Caenorhabditis elegans: one gene and its partner. The protein of the gene in region 1 purifies or fractionates together with the protein of each later gene. This does not show direct contact. Each region holds a gene or a part of one and is shown in the gene's direction. Other genes may lie near its edges.

Evidence for each region.
Region 2: the proteins of D1086.5 (region 1) and hrde-1 fractionate together in Caenorhabditis elegans (co-fractionation; one large-scale study listed by BioGRID). This does not show direct contact.

The regions. Positions count from the first base shown.
Region 1 is NC_003283.11:14,088,346-14,092,130, reverse strand, and holds D1086.5 (T20D4.11-like domain-containing protein), read left to right. Parts: upstream 1-1,771; 5' UTR 1,772-1,833; coding exon 1,834-1,965; intron 1,966-2,016; coding exon 2,017-2,121; intron 2,122-2,640; coding exon 2,641-2,817; intron 2,818-2,861; coding exon 2,862-2,969; intron 2,970-3,024; coding exon 3,025-3,180; 3' UTR 3,181-3,240; downstream 3,241-3,785. Other genes in the region: him-5 (High Incidence of Males (increased X chromosome loss)), read right to left, coding at 1-61, 288-380, 430-658, 704-834, 922-1,020, 1,205-1,250; D1086.19 (uncharacterized protein), read right to left, coding at 3,427-3,780.
Region 2 is NC_003281.10:4,171,800-4,177,727, reverse strand, and holds hrde-1 (Argonaute protein hrde-1), read left to right. Parts: upstream 1-1,568; 5' UTR 1,569-1,574; coding exon 1,575-1,683; intron 1,684-1,734; coding exon 1,735-1,945; intron 1,946-1,990; coding exon 1,991-2,944; intron 2,945-2,993; coding exon 2,994-3,518; intron 3,519-3,565; coding exon 3,566-4,514; intron 4,515-4,559; coding exon 4,560-4,750; intron 4,751-4,799; coding exon 4,800-4,959; 3' UTR 4,960-5,391; downstream 5,392-5,928. Other genes in the region: utp-11 (putative U3 small nucleolar RNA-associated protein 11), read left to right, coding at 1-62; C16C10.13 (Rab3 GTPase-activating protein catalytic subunit), read right to left, coding at 162-470, 515-784, 829-945; C16C10.4 (putative histone deacetylase complex subunit SAP18), read right to left, coding at 5,663-5,800, 5,901-5,928. UniProt on the Caenorhabditis elegans protein: Argonaute protein which is involved in the endogenous small interfering RNA (endo-siRNA) pathway and is required for RNA-mediated gene silencing (RNAi) in the germline.

The DNA.
Region 1 (3,785 bases):
GACTGTTCAGTGTCCCTGTGTTTTGTTGGCGGTCTTCCACACATTCTACGTGCCGGATTATCTGGAACAAAAACAATTTATCTGAAAATCGGAAAACTAAACTCGATGAAGATTCGGCAGAAAAAAATTCGGAACTACAGTAATCTTTAAAGGCGCACACCCGTTAAACCTGTGCTTAAAACAAGTTTGTCGTGTCTAGACTAAATACCGTATTATTGTAGCCAAAATTGCAAAATTTCGCGAAATTAAATCGTGTCTTTCATTAATGTTGATGTGAGTTTACTTACCACACTGTGAAGTTGGACGATCACTGTTGACAATCACAGAATTTAAAAACTCTAAATCATCGTCGGTGCTTAAATCTTCGTATACTCCTGGTGCTGAAATTTGTAATATATTGGAAAATTGACTTCTCTTGGATTTCCGTACCAAATGCAACTGATTTTTTTGGTTTAGAAGCCACGCTGATTCCTGATCCACTTTTTTTGAGAATTCCAGAATTATTCGACGATTTCTCAATTTGGCAGTTCTTACTCGCATTTTTTTGAGTTTTCTTATTTCCCTTATTGCGTCTATCAGCTTCGTCATTGGAGTCGACAGATTTTTCTCTTTCTTTGGGCTTTGAGGAATACTTGGAGTTAGCTTTCCGGAGCTTTGCCTGGAAAATAATCAGTAAAATTCCATGTTTTTAAAAATTACTAACATAGAAAGGTTCCCTCTTTTTCAAATATTCTCGAAGATTCGAAAAAGCTTCATTCACTACTTCGTCTTGTTCTTTTTGTGGAAGACTCTTGAAACGTGCACCTACTGATCTCTCTGCATTGTCTCGAATTCCTGAAATTAACTATTTAGTTTTTTATTGGAAAACATTGATGTAAAAGCTTTCCTGCAGAAAAATACATAAAATATATTAAAACGAACTGTATCTCGGCAAAAAATATGGGCCATCGGCAATTTTTTTCGATGTATTTCTGTTCTGTGAACGACCGGCGATGCGACCAACTGTTTTTCGTTGTTCATCTGAAAAAAAATCCCAAAAAATGTTCATTTGTAATGTTTAACAATGAATTGGTGTTTATAGAGTTGTTTTCCTCAAAAATAAACATTTATTAAAGTTTTTTTAAATTGTTATTCCGCTTTTAGCATTGAAGCTACTGACGAATTCAAATTTAGCAAGATATAATAGATTAAAAAAATAAATTACCTGTTAATATTATAATATTGTCGTTATTAGAACGAATTCTGGACATTTTCAGCAAAAAAAACCAGATGATAAGTATGCTTTTTCGGGAGAAAAACAGTTTGCTTTATTAAGGTACGATCTTAAAGGCGCATATCGCAAAACGAGAAGATGGTATCGCAACGACTTGCTTTGTTTTGTAGAAACTTATCAGGCCTGGATTGGATTTAGGAAGTAGTTTTCGAATATTAAGACAGAAAGACTGTTTTTTAGACTTTCATTGTTTTAAACTTGCGGAAAGTTTTGAATTCTACACAAAATGAACTAATTTTGCAACAAAAATGGTGTCTTTTGGAAATGGTTCATTAATTACCGCGAATTTGCTCATATTTGAGGATTTTGTAAGAGAATAATTTTGAAAAAAAAACCGTAATTACTGAATATAACAGACTTTTCAGCTGAAAAAAAATTAATATTTGTACAGTTTCCATGTAATAAATGTAGTTAATCCACCAAATCGAACAACTAGACAAATGGCACCTGATTGCTTGCTGAGCAGCTGCCGCTGAAAACGTTTGACGTCACATCCACAATCTTAGTTCTCTCTACTTTGCTTCTAGCTTGTCTGCTGCTCTTTTCATTTTGAGCTCCGAATGTTAATCCAGAACATATTCCTCTTACTTTTTCCAATTTCAACTGTTTTTTCAAGTAATGGAGTGAACTATTTCAAGTCAGAATGTTCATTTTTTCCCGGACGTAGTAATATAAAGTATTGCAGGTTATTTGTAAGTTTTGATGGGTGTCTTTGGCTTTTTTAAATGCTGAATAATTTTAAGGAAGGTGCTAAATATTATTGGAGGCATAATTCAATTGCGTGGAATCCGGAACAGACCAAAAATATGAGTCTTGTTGAACTCAGAAAGCATTGTGATGATTATTTTGTAAGATTTGTTTGTAATACATATGGAAATACAGGCATGTAAAAGTATTCGCTAGATCTTGAGATCTCAGCTCACGATAAAATTTTCAAATAAGTGGGGTTTTGGATATTTTTTTGAATTTAAAAAACAATATTTTTCTAGCTCAGTGTGCTCCATTTCCGCTAAATAAAATTTATTTCGGTACTTCTGTATTATTTCCCCTCATTTTAATATTATCCATTTTAATAAAACGTGATGTCCATTTTCATTCTTTAGGCTTAGAAAGGGTTATTTCCTAAGCCTAAAAATACAAAAACACCACACGTTTTTATTTAAAAGTTTATTTTAAAAACTGAGGGGAAATAATACACAAGTACCTTTATTTCCAGATTTCCACTCAAAACACTTCCAAACAACCAAATTTCATAATAAGAGCTCTTAATAATCGTTCTAAAATGTTTTCAAGTGGTTCAAAATTTCAAATTTTAAAAAGTTAAATTTAGCTGAAATCTCATTTTGACATTTTCACAATGCCTTCAGGTTTGCATGGAAAATACGGGATGCTACATGGATTTTGTCAATTATCAGGAACTGGACAAGTGCATTGATGACGTATTTCATCTAGGACCAATGTATTATTGTGAGAAAACATTGAAGGAAGTTATTGAGAAAACCCCGGATCAAGTTTCTGAATGTGTTAAGGATTATCTCAAAAATGTACTCTTTAGCATTTTGCATTGATTCTGTAAGTTTAATTTCAGAAAAATCCGGACAAAGTCGACTGCGTGAGCATCCAGACAAAAAGTAAATGCTTTCTCGAAGATGTTGGGAAGCATTGTGGTTCTGATTTTTTGAGTCTGTACAAGCAGGTGAAAATTTGATTTTATTAATTTCTGCAGATCTCTTTAACTTATAATGCTACAGCACATAAATATTCGTCTCTACAATCGTGCTTGCGATGGACGTCTTCGATATAAAGATCGGGTTCGTGGAGATGATAATAGCATGCAAAGAGGGATAATTACAAAAGAAGATGTTGAAAGGGATTTCGGAAGTAATTCAACACAAATTTCGGCTTAATTTCAGTTCATTTTTTTCCGAATGGTTTTTTGGCACGTTTTAATAAAACAATTTGAAAAAATTTCGTGCTACATAGAATTCCATTAAACTTCAAGATGCTAGATTATTGAAAAAATATTTATGTATACCTAATTATATGTAGTTCCACGTTGTTGTTTTTTACAAAACTATTTGGAGTTATTAGATTTATTAAAGAAATGACACAGGCATTAAGAAAGAAACTATAGGATCACAGAAGCAAGAAATTTACTCTTTCTTGTCGGCTTTCTTTGTAACCTTGGAACTTGGCGCACTCTGTTCCTCATCGCGGGACAGTGTTGAGCTTTGACTATCACGTATCACGAAACTTCTCGATCTTTTTCTAGCAATCCTATTGTTCCGACAGTCGCGTAAGTGCCTTGTCAGTCGCTGAATAAAATAGTTCTGAAGAATTTCGCATCGAAAGTCGCGTTCTTTCATGTCGAGAAGCTTCCGGCGCTTTGAAACTGCCAGATTGAGCATTATTCTTGGGTGAACTTTCATCGAGGAATTCATTGGCATAGCCTCATCTTCCGATGATGATGAAGAGGATGAAGAGGAGAGTTCAAGACCGTAATCCATATTTC
Region 2 (5,928 bases), on another chromosome or scaffold:
TCAAAAAGGCGAAAGCTATGCGAGCAGCCGTCTACAAATGGACCTATGAACGAAAGAAGTAGTTAATTTCTTTTTTTTTAATCCCATTTTATTCTGAATCTTCTTTTTTGTTAATTTTTGCTGTTGAGTTTACATTTTATGCGTTATTGAAATTGTTGACTTTATTGAAACATTGAATTTAAAGAGATCTCTGTCGTTGTCACTGGAAACGGGACCATCGTCTCTCTCGTCAAATCAATCGTCTTTAAAACAAGCGGAGTCAGTGAAGAGGTCTGAGTGAAGATGAGCACGGCACACATGTTGGAATCGCAGCAACAATCTTTTTGCTGATACAATATCTTGTGTTGCACTAGCATCGATCGCAGTTCGCATTTTGGCATCACTGACACAGGTTGTTGACACTTTTGAACATCTGGGAATGGATGAGACATGATGAAGACGGAATCGAATTGACTGAATTTTTCAGGGTCCTAAACAGATAACTGGATTTTCAGAATTTTGTTGAAAAGGATACCGTATCCTTGACACATCCACTGTATATTCTTCCTGGCACCAGTGCCACCACATCAGTCATATTCATAGAATGACATGGATAATTCTCTGGATCATTTAGAAATTTTACTGCATTTGATGATCGAGAAAATATTGATCCAGTATATGGAAGACTTGTCGTGTTCTGTTCCCTATACACTGCTAACAAACCACACAGAAAACGAGGAAATAAATCTGGAAGATCTAGAAACGAGTGGTGTTCTAGACAAGTCTTGACCAGTTCTGATAGGCTCTGAAACTCTTTTCTAGACTTGAAAAATGACTTATTAAGCTCACAATTTTATCTTCAAGTTCTCGAATTGTCCAATCGGGTTCATATTTCTTTTTATCTTCTAGATAATTTAGAAACTTAATTTCCGTCGCATTCGTCTTCACTTCAGCTAACGGATTCATCAAAATATGAGCAATTGATTCATTAAGGAATGGCTGGAGCAGCCTGTTTGGAATTATCGGCTTTTCGAGCAACGCCTTTTCCTTCAGAATTTTAGGCATATGTTTGAGATGAATTATGTCGCATTTTATTGAATTTGCCAGAAAAGAGACGAAAAAGCAGAAAACTTGAAAAACCAGCATCGTTTTGATTGTAGAAATGAATTAAATAATTAATATTTATTGAAGCATAACAAATTAATTTTTTAAAAATATTGTTTTCTATTATTTTATTTGAAATGTTCAGAATAGTCGTTAAGTTTTTGAAAACTAATAAAATTCGATTTCTAGACGTGAAATTTTTCGAAGAGATCACAATGCAAGCGCGCTCTATTGTTACAACGCATGTGGCGCCACGATTTGAACTTTTGTACCGCCACGGATGTGTTTTCTCGAATTTTCTGGCCTAAAATTTATTTATTTTCATTTCATTTCTCTCCTTGCGTTTTTTCTCATTTTACTTGAAAATCTCAATCAGGACGGTAAAGCTTTTGTTTCATTTACTTTTTCTTAGTAAATTTCACTGTTTTATCTCAATTACATCTGAAATTCGCATCGTTTTTTCGTTTCATCGTTTCTTATTTCAGTCAAACATGGCCGACTTGCTCGACAAAATTATGGGAAGTTCGTCTTCCAACAGGATTCCCAAACGAGACAACCGAATGAATCAGGACAAGGACGAACCGACGTCAAAGAGAAGTGGTTCGTTTAGAATCAACATTATGCCTAGGAGTTCAAAATTGTCTTTTTCAGCACCAATGTTCTCTACTCCGAAGTCAACAACACCAATTGGACGGGACTCTTTCGCAACGATGGACACGATGAATGTTCAGATGAACATGTTTCCAGTGGACATCAAGGATATGCCCCACAAGATCCAACGCTTTCAAGTTGACGTCATCGTCTGTTCCAGCAACGGAAAACAGATCAATGCCAACCTTGGAGTTTTGGCGGCCAAGGGAGAGTAAGTATTTAATTTGTATAACCGCTCAAAATCAGTACTTTCCAGTGTCAATTCCCATAACCGTCGCTTGGCACAATACTACATCATGAGAACAGTACATGACAAGCTTCTGGTGAAGTTCAGTGGAAAGAGTCACCACTTCCTTGCTTACGACTGCGCTGCGACTCTCTATCTTCCGGAGGGAGTCTACACTGGTGACGATCAAGAAGAAGTCACGTTGACGATCGATGACTTCCCGAAGGAAGAATGGAAATTCGTGTCGAAGTTGTCTCGCAGAAAGGACGATTCTTACCTTGTTGTTCTCAAACCTGCCGGATTTGTGTACACCCAAGGAGAAGTTGCCCAGGAGGAGGCTAATCGTATGGAGTTGACTCGTATTATCGAAATCGTCACTTCACAAAAGCTCAACAATGAGGATTACTTACAATTTGGTAATGCCACATTCCCACGTCTTTCTCCGCCACACTCGGAACCTGATGCTATTTCGGAGATCCGCTCAGGTTTTGCGAAAGTATCTCGTCTATCGCAAAACGGAGGTGGCAAAGCTTTCATGACGGTTGATACGAAGATTTCTCCATTTTACAAGGATACATCAGTTATCAAGTTTTCAAGCAACAAGTTATCCGAAATGAAAGGTGGAGGCGGTGGAAGAGGCGGATACGGAAGAAGTGACTCGCGAGACTCTCGTGGTGGATACCGTGGCGGCCGTTCCGACTCGAGAGACTTTCGTGGTGTCTATGGAAACCGAGGTGGCAACGACAGGTACCGAGATGAAAGCAGAGGACGTCGCGACATGTACGATTCCCGTCGAGACAGTGGTTCTTCAAATGGAGCGGACTACTCTCCGAGTGATGCTGCTGAGTTGGAACACGCTTTTGGCGAAAGAGGAAACACGAAGCGATGCATTGAAGAAGCACTCAAAGGATTGGACGTGGAATGCACTCACTTGAAGGGTAACCTTATTCGCGTATCCTCGATTGCCGAGAACAATGCTGAGAAGTAAGTTATTCGATAGTTATCATCAGCGTGATAACAATTTGTTTTGTAGCACTTCGTTCATGATGAAGGACGACAAGGGAGAACGCGAGGTCACCGTGGCGGAATATTTCCTGTTGCAGTACAACATCAAGCTGAAATATCCGAGACTTCCTCTCGTCGTCTCAAAAAGATTCAAACATGAATCTTTCTTCCCAATGGAGTTGCTTCGAATTGCTCCAGGCCAGCGGATCAAGGTCAACAAGATGAGCCCGACAGTACAATCGGCGATGACAGGAAGAAATGCGTCTATGCCACAGCATCATGTGAAGTTGGTTCAAGATATTCTCCGCGACAACTTGAAGCTTGAACAAAATAAGTACATGGATGCTTTCGGAATCAAACTGATGTCGACTGAGCCAATCCAAATGACTGCGAAGCTCCTCCCACCAGCTCAAATCAAGTTCAAGGGCCAGACTTACATGCCTGACATGAGCCGTCCAGCGTTCCGCACACAGGACAAGTTTGTCGAACCAGCACGGATCAGAAAAATTGGTATTGTTGTCTTTGACAACTGTATCCAAATGAGACAGGCCGAGTAAGTCGAACGTTGTTTTCTTCTGCTTTATAATATTCTATTTTCAGAGATTTCTGCGACAAGCTGTCCAATTTCTGTCGTGACAATGGAATCACGGTCGAAAAGGACTCGCGAGATTGGTCCATCCGTGAATTGAACTCCAGTGATTCCGTTGCTATCCAAAATCTGATGAAGAAATGGCTCGATGATAGAGTGGACATTCTTGTTGGAATAGCAAGGGAGAAGAAGCCGGATGTTCACGACATACTCAAATACTTTGAGGAATCGATTGGCCTGCAAACAATCCAATTGTGTCAACAGACTGTCGATAAAATGATGGGAGGTCAAGGTGGACGCCAAACGATTGACAACGTCATGAGAAAGTTCAACCTCAAGTGTGGTGGAACCAACTTCTTCGTCGAGATCCCGAATGCTGTGCGTGGAAAAGCAGTGTGCTCAAACAATGAAACATTGAGAAAGAAACTTCTCGAACATGTACAATTCATCGGATTCGAGATTTCTCATGGCGCATCACGCACTTTGTTCGATCGCAGTAGATCACAAATGGATGGTGAGCCATCAGTTGTTGGAGTCTCGTATTCCCTGACCAACTCGACGCAGCTCGGAGGCTTCACATACCTTCAAACCCAAAAGGAGTACAAACTTCAAAAACTTGATGAATTCTTCCCAAAGTGTGTCAGATCGTACAAGGAGCATTCGAAGACACTCCCAACAAGAATCGTCATCTATCGTGTTGGTGCTGGAGAAGGAAACTTCAATCGTGTTAAGGAAGAAGTCGAAGAGATGCGACGAACATTTGACAAGATTCAGCCCGGATACCGTCCACATCTCGTGGTGATCATCGCACAAAGAGCTTCACATGCTCGCGTTTTTCCATCATGTATCAGTGGCAACAGAGCGACGGATCAGAACATCCCATCTGGAACATGTGTCGAGAATGTCCTGACATCCTACGGATACGACGAGTTCATTTTGTCTTCACAGACGCCGCTTATTGTAAGTTGTTCATTAGTTAATTTATTAAATGAAAGTTTCTTTTAGGGTACCGTTCGTCCGTGCAAGTACACGATCCTTGTCAATGATGCCAAATGGTCTAAAAACGAGCTCATGCACTTGACGTACTTCCGCGCATTCGGTCATCAAGTGTCCTACCAGCCACCATCGGTTCCAGATGTTCTTTATGCGGCAGAAAATCTGGCTAAACGAGGACGCAACAATTACAAAATTCATCAGTAATAGTTTATTTTCCTAAAAATCTTTATCAAAAACAAATGTTTCCAGGCGTTACGTGAATTTGCAAGCAGTTGAGAACCGCATCATCAAAGACCATTCGGAACTCATCAACGAAGACATGCGAGAAGAACTGGCGGCAGCCATTGTTGATGAGATGTCCGTTGCAATGAACGGAATGACCATTCCGAAGCGAAACTTCTGGGCGTAATCCCGAGATTCTCTCTTTTATTGTCACGTATTCACCCCCTTTACATATTACCAACATTTTTTATCCACTACCCTATACCTACTCTCTATACAAGTACTTAAATTCCCATGCTTTTGTTTTTCTGAACATTCTTTATTACATTTTTCCCCATAATTGTATCGTATTCCCCTTTATGTTTTTATAATTTCAACTAAGAATCCTTTTGTAATTTAATCTAGAGTAGAGTACATTGACACATAGTTTGAATAGTAGATACTCCTGTTTTACCTGCCTTTTTTTCTGTGCGAATTTCCTCCAACTTTCTTATTAGGAGTTTTCGAAGGCGAAAGAAACTTCCAATTAGAACGTTTTTGGAAATTTCGATTTTCAATAATCTTACTTGCTCTACCCCCCGTCCATTATCATTTATTAAGCAATAAATTATTCGAGAAGAAATTTTAGTTTTCGCTGAAAGCAGTTTGATCGCGATCATTTTTCCGATTTTTGCATAATCACAAAACAAAACTTTTTTAAAATTAAATAGCTTGCAATTTTGACCAGTAAATGTGAAAGTAAACTTTGTTGTAAATTGTTAAGTATGTTGAACAATTGTAAAGGAAAACATGATTTACGCAGAATATTACATTGCACGTTATAAAAAAAAGAATCGACACATTAATAAATACAGAAGAGTATCATTGAATTTTAACACACAGTTAGGCGTCTAGCGAATCGGACTACGTTGGCGTTGACGATGATCGAAACGGTCTCCCTGCTCCCGGTTATTGAAACGACGTCCTTGACTTGGCAAGGAAATCGCGACGTCGACGAAATCACCGACTTCGAATTTGCATTGTTGTAGCTGAAAAACAAAGTTCAATCAAAACGAATTTAATATTGGAGATATTATTTCCGAATTCAAATAAAATTCTAATGGTTCCGTGGTGTCAAAAATCACATACAGTTTTGTTGTCATCAATGCCACGCTCT